2 linked regions of the Sus scrofa genome follow. The protein of the gene in region 2 interacts with the protein of the main gene of each other region in a biochemical or structural test. Links are inferred from orthologs where the notes say so. Each region holds a gene or a part of one and is shown on either strand. Other genes may lie near its edges.

Region 1 (3,518 bases), on a different chromosome or scaffold from region 2:
AAACCAACCAACAAACAAAAAGGCAATGACATTCTGGGGAAACTGCTCTTCCAGGCTTGCAGGGAGACAGACATCAGGCAGAGGTGGATGAGTTGGGCATTAGATACTCGGTTAGATGTTTTCAGAAACTTGTCTGGGTTTGTGACCAGGAAGGCGCTTAGATGTTTTTGTGAGTCCCCTTCATTGCAAAGGCTGTGCTTGTCTAAGCCAGGGGTAAAGAGCTGGATGGAGTTTTCTTGCTGGAAATGTCACAAGAGCCCCCCAGCCATTCACACACACCCCCCCATGTGCCTTTGGAAGAAGAGGACGAGGACAAGGCCCCAAGAACCCATCCATTCAGCCAGGAATCTTCGCTCACCAAACACAGACAAAGAACAGTGGTTTTGCTTGTAATTTTGTTGTTTTGAGCTTTTTTCCCCAGTAACTGCTCTGCTTTGTCTGGCTCTTCCATTCCACAGGATGTGATCGTATCTCGCACAACAATGTCACAGTCACTTCAGGTTTAAGAGAGTTTAGTTCTGAAGTTCCCGTCATGGTGCAGCAGAAACGAATCGACTAGGAGCCATGAGGTTGCGGGTTTGATCCCTGGCCCCACTCAGTGGCTTAAGGATCCAGCATTGCTGTGAGCTGTGGTGTAGGTCACAGACGCAGCTCGGATCCCAAGTTGCTGTGGCTGTGGTGTAGGCTGGCAGCTGTAGCTCTGATTTGACCCCTGGCCTGGGAACCTCCATATGCTTCAGGTGCAGTCCTAAAAAGCAAATAAAATAAAGTAGTTTAGGTCCAGTTCAGAATTTCCAGGGATCCGCTACCTTTCCACTTCAGCACAGGCTGGATATGGGCAGGGAGGCGAGGGCTACGAAGACGCACTTTGTGGTGGAGATGAGCGTGGTCTGTTTTGTCTTACATGTGCACACGCACGGGCACGCACACACACACACACATGATCCCCCAATTCCTACCCCCTGCCCCGGTGTGTGTGTGGGGAGCACTGGGTTAAGGATCCAGGGCCAAAGATCCCAGGCCCCGGGAACTTTCATATATGCCTCAGGTGCAGTGGAAAATATAATTAACATTAATTCTGAAAATACAAGTAAAATGAGCTTTTATCAGCTTCTTTTTACTCTTTGTTAACGTGACTGCTAGAAAATGTTCAGTGCTATTTGTGGCTCGGAGTGTATCGCTACGGGACAGTGCTGGGCTGGAGAGCCACTTTGGGAAGCAGAAAGGGCATCTCTCAGAGTTTCATACCTTCTTGGTCCACTGAGAAGATGAGAGACAAGTCCAACTCCCCACTCTGCAGAAGCATTTGAAATCAGTGCCCTGCTGGGTGGTTGTGGGTTCTTTGCTCAGCCTGTCTGAGCTCTCTCCATCTCATTCTGTTCTCTCTCCACAGACAAATGCCAGGCTGATGGCAAGAAAGATAAAAGCAGATTTCTCAAAGGCCTGGATAAGCACTATATAAAGAGCTGTAAGTGATGGTCGCTCCTGCCATTTGGGGAAAGTGAGAAAAGCCAAGGGGAAGAATTCTGTCACTCCAATTACATGAATGCCCAATATAGGTGATGCCCATTTCTCATCAATTGAGAAGAACAGGCACATGGATAGGTTTTATTATTTTGAACTCAGGTAACTCACAAAACAATGACCAATCCCCACATTTAGAAGTAATTCAAATGGAATTCCTGTCGTGGCTCAGCAGTAATGAGCCCGACTAGTATCCAAGAGGATGTGGGTTTGATCCCTGGCCTTGCTCAGTGGGTTAAGGATCCGGGGTTGCCATGAGCTGTAGTGTAGGTCACAGATTCGCCTCAGATCCTAAGTTGCTATGGCTGTGGCTGTGGCTGTGGGCAGCAGCTAAAGCTCCGACATGACCCCAGCCTGGGAACTTCCATATGCCATGGGTGCAGCCAAAAAAAAAAGTATCCAAAAATAATAGAAAATTTTATATTTATTTCTTCATGCCTCTGAGTAAGGGAGGAAAAGGTAAGACAAAGAGAAGATAAAAGCAGCTCAATCTCTGTAGTATTCGCTGCCCCCAGCCGTAGGCTGTGTTTCTGGTTGTAAGGCTGGGACAGCTCAGGGGATGGAGCCCCACTGTAACAGCAGCCGAGGCCAAAGTCATCAGAGATGGCTCTGCCCCACGAGAGGTAACACTAGAAGTACCCTTTCTTAAAGGCCCACGTGTGCTAAGCACCCCACAGCTAACAGTTCAAAAATCCCACAGCTCTTCTCCAAGGATGCGTGTCATTATCAGCAATTTACAGTAAGTTCCCTGCCAGTCCAGGGAGCTGCGCTAAGTTACCCAAGTCATGTGACTACTAATTGAAAAAGACAATCTTGGAACACATTTTGCCAACACCAGAAACCACATAATGCCTTCCAAAGCCAGGGAGCGCGGTCCTCTTCCTCCCCCAGTTCTCCATGACAGGAGCTATTGGTGTTTGCAGAGGTTAAGTCCCCACTGTGCTCTCTGCCTGGTGTGCTGTGGAGTGTGTCCCGTCCAGGCCCCCGGAAACACTCTAGGCCAGTAGGGAATCGCCCCCCCCACTCCCACCCTCTGCCATTACTAGGACCATCTGAATGGTTCCCACACTTCCCCATGGGTGGGGACGGGGGGGGGGAAGGGGGCAGTCTCCACTGAGAACCACTGATGCGTGTTCTTATTGATGGCGGCAGGTGTTTGGTTTTGGATTTTGCAAGTTTCTGGTTATCGAGACCAAAGTTGGTTTTCTCTCCCCATTCCTAGGGTACCTGTTAGAGAAAAGCAATCCTACACCGATGGAAACTTTGGAGCCTGAGTAAGCCCTTCAGGTAGGAGCCCAGCCTCTGAGCACTGGTGGCTTCAGGTGGTGTAGTCAGGAAAGCTGGAGTCCAAACGCACAGATAGGAATGCACTGAACTGACACCGCATAGGAAGGATGGTGAGCAACTGTACAAGGACTTCCCAACACACAGCATCACCCTCCCTGACTGGAGTTAGGTGGGGATGAAGAGCTGCTCTCAGTTCCAGCCTGGGTTGGAGGGGTATAGGGACAGAGCAGAAAAAGAGGTTTAGAGGGAGTTCCCATTGTGGTTCAGCGGGTAACAAACTGACTAGTATCCATGAGGATGCGGATTCAATCCCTGGCCTCGATCAGGGGATCCAGCATTGCTGTGAGCTGTGGTGTAGGTCTCAGATTAGGCTTGGATCTGGCATTGCTGTGGCTGTGATGTAGGCAGCTCTGATTCGACCCCAAATGCCGCAGATGCGGCCCTAAAAAGAAATAAAAAGAAAAGAGGGACTTAGAGAGACTGTTAAGAGGGCCTGGGAGTTGGGAGAGGAAGAAGGGCAGTGGAGTTGAATGTTCTTGAAGGTTTCAGATGCTAAGAGCTAGGACAGCATGGGCATATGGGGGTGGAGATAGCAGGCATTTCATCCATCTCCCCTCCCCCTTCCCAGAGTGGGACACCCCCGCCCCAGGAAATACTGTGCCATTCAATCAGTTTACCCCTAACTTGTTCGGGTGTACTTTTGTTAC
Region 2 (3,518 bases):
CCCTGTGACATACCATCTAAGTTGTCAGACTAAGTCATTTCAGCAGTTTGATTCCACATCACTGCTATGAGAACATAAATATGTTTCATGTAATTATGAGGAATGATACTATTGTATTTCGTAGGATCCTCTAGGGAAATACTTGCTGTTTTCTTCAAGACTATCTAGACTGTGTAAAATAGATACATAGCTAGATACATGGCATTGATCACAGTTGAAATTCAGAAGAATAGCACATTGTCATCTATGTAAAATCAAATCCTTGGGTATCTACAAATTCAGCGTATGCCTTACTGAAAATAAAGCAGCATTTTTGCTGCATTCAAATCTCAACAAGAAAGTAATTCACATGTACTCTTCAAGTTAATTTTCACAGGATTCAATTTGTATTAAAGAAATTTTAAATTGTTATTTACTTTTTTATATATAGTACTTTCCAGGAGCAGATGAGCCATTACAATACCCCTGTCAGTATTCAGATGAAGGCCAGAGCAACTCTGCCACCAGTACAGGTAAATGGATAGATTGGAACAGTAATAACATAAAATTGTTCTATCTCTATTCCTATGAAATTATAATCAAGAAGCAATGAATGATGTCTTCATTTGCATTTTAATTTCTTCATTTAATGTGATTGACTGCAATTTGAATTTCCAGGTGCATCATTCTTCATGCAGGTATCCAGATTAAAGAGTTACTGAAGACCTGCTTCTAAGTCTTGAAATTCTTAGTCATATATAGAAAGACTGGATATTATATTGCTGTGAATGTTGTTCTTTATTTGAAAATAGTTCTTACACAGATATTGCTAGATCAGATAGTATCAGAAATTATTGTAAATATGTATATATGTAAAACAACTTTTTTTTTTATCATGAACACCCTACCTACCTTTTGGTCCTCGTAGAAGAATCTATGGAGACTCTAAAAAGCTGTGTTATAGTTCAGTGTTCCTCAGTTCCATAGTTTGTAGTCATCAAAAAAGATAGTAAAAATAATACTCTAACTTAAAAAAATTGTTCTTCTCAAAAGATATGCTATTTTAAGTATTTTTCGTCAATAATTTGATTAAAACTGAAACACATAGGTGTGAATTTACTTATTCCATATTTAGAATTTTGTTTTTACTGACAAATATTTTACTGGTCCATTTCCCCCTCTTCAAAAATATTTTAAGCTAGTTTACTATTTGGCTGGTTATTCCCAAATTACAGTTTTTTGAGTTGCTCTGAATGCTAACGTGAGCTTCTCTTAAAAACACCTCCTCAGAGTTCCCGTCGTGGCTCAGTGGTTAACGAATCTGACGAGAAACCATGAGGTTGCGGGTTAGATCCCTGGCCTTACTCAGTGGGTTAAGGATCCGGCGTTGCCGTGAGCTGTGGTGTAGGTTGCAGACACAGCTCGGATCCCACGTTGCTGTGGCTCTGGTGTAGGCTGGTGGCTACAGCGCTGATTTGACCCCTAGCCTGGGAACCTCCATATGCCGCAGAGCGGCCCAAGAAAATGGCAAAAAGACAACAACAAAAAAAAAAAAAAAAAAAAAAACCTCCTCTCCACTCCTCACTCCCAGCTAATCCTCTTTGCTCTTTCTCTATAATCAGAAGATAGCTGCCACAAGCCCCCCACTCCATCTGCCCACCCTCCTGTATCTGCCCCTCTGCTCTGCACTCCCTTCTGTTCTCCTGGCTGACCTATCCAAGCTACCAGCCAAAGGCACACCTATATCCTTATGCATCATATCCTCTCTGCTCTTCATCAGTTCTTCTCTGTCTCTTGCATCATCAGTTGTATCCTTTCTATTGGGTTCACTCTCAGAGCATATATACAGTAGTCCCCCCCACCCCCCAACTTGTCCCTAATTTCATTTTCTGCAGTTTCAGGTACCAGTGGTCAACTGCAGTCTGAACATATTAAATGGAAAATTCCAGAACTAAATAATTCATATGTTTTAACTTGCAGCCATATTGAGTGGTGTGGTGAAATCTCACCCCGCCTTGCCTCGTACTTGAATTACCCCTTTGTCCAGTATATCTTGCCTCTTGGTCACTCTGTAGCCCTTGTGGTTGTCAGATCTACTGTCGTGGTATCTCAGTGCTTGTGTTCAAGTGACCCTTATTTAATAATGGCTCCAAAATGCAAGAGTAGTGATGCTGGCAGTTCGGATATGCCAAAGAGAAGCCTTCAAGTGTTTCCTTTAAGTGAAAAGGTGAAAGGTCTTGATTTTAATAAGGAAAGAAAAAAAAATTGTATGCTGAGATCTAGGAAATTCCATCATGAATTTGTGCAGAAGGAAAAAGAAATTTGTGCTGGTTTTCTTGTCACACCTCAGACTGCAAACATTATAGCCACAGTGCAGGATAAGTGCTTAATTAGATAGAAAAGGTGTTAAGTCTATACAGTAAGACGTAATTTTGAGAGAGACCACATTCCTGTAACATTTTTTACAATGCACTCTTGTAATTGTTCTATTTTATTTTTAATTACTGTTGTTAATCTCTTACTGTGCCTAATTTATGAATTAAACTTTAGCGTAGGTATATATGTATAAGAAAAAAACGGTACTATCCAAAGTTTTAGGCATCCACCTGGGTCTTGGAACTTCACCTCCACAGATAAGGGTCGGGGGGTAGTCTATATTTGCATGTCTCTATCCATTCTTTCTTGTGCCCAGTCTTTTCAGGCTTCTATATTAGATTAATTACGTCTCTAGAATTGCTCTTGTCAAGGTCACCATTTATCTTCACAGTACTAAATCTAAGTGAGTAATTTTCAGTTCTCATGCTTTTTGATTCTCAGTAGCCTTTGACACAGCTGATTACTCTCTACTTCCTTCAGCACTTTGAGTTGGTCTCTAGGATAGTATACTACCCTGGATTTCATCTTACATCTCTGAGCACTTGTTTTTATGGTTTCCTATGCTGCTTAATCCTCATTTTCCCAACCTATCAATGTCAGAGTGCCCATGGTTCAGGCATTTGGCCTCTTTGTTTATTTTTGTAAACTCATTTCCTTGGTAATTTCATCCAAAGTCATGGCTTTATATACTATGTATTTGCCAATGCTTTGCTCCACCCCAGACCTAAACTCGACACTTATTATATATCCAACTACTTGCTTAATATCTAATAGGAACTCAAAATTACCATTTTCCAAATTTAGCTCCCTTCATACTCATTCGTCCATGGTTTTCCCCATCTTGATTAATTGCCACTCCATTCTGCTAGCTCAGGCTAAGAATCTTAAAAGTCAACCTTGACTCAGAAGAATTTTAGGCATTTTAGTTCCCTCTTAAATTTAAAGTGCTGTCCTTAAATTTCATTTAAAATGGGTTTATTTGGGTATCTTCATTAGCTTGAAAAGTTGTATTTTATTTCTGTCTGTATCTTGCTAGCTTAGAAAATAATTTAAAGTTACATTTTATTGAATGAAGCATTTGTATTATTCCTAACCTATAGTCATAAATGTTTCTGCTTTCCTAGGCTCATTCATGGACATTGCATCTACAAATACCAGTAATA

The links.
Region 1: the proteins of MAP3K7 (region 2) and TRIM31 form a complex in vitro, tested with the Homo sapiens proteins (2 studies listed by BioGRID, with this or other methods). The link is inferred for Sus scrofa from reciprocal best matches to the Homo sapiens genes MAP3K7 and TRIM31.

What each region holds. Positions count from the first base shown.
Region 1 is NC_010449.5:22,671,215-22,674,732, reverse strand, and holds part of TRIM31 (E3 ubiquitin-protein ligase TRIM31), read left to right. Parts: intron 1-1,393; coding exon 1,394-1,468; intron 1,469-2,746; coding exon 2,747-2,798; intron 2,799-2,800; coding exon of another isoform or gene 2,801-2,811; intron 2,812-3,518.
Region 2 is NC_010443.5:58,516,666-58,520,183, reverse strand, and holds part of MAP3K7 (mitogen-activated protein kinase kinase kinase 7), read left to right. Parts: intron 1-430; coding exon 431-512; intron 513-3,479; coding exon 3,480-3,518. UniProt on the Homo sapiens protein: Serine/threonine kinase which acts as an essential component of the MAP kinase signal transduction pathway. Plays an important role in the cascades of cellular responses evoked by changes in the environment.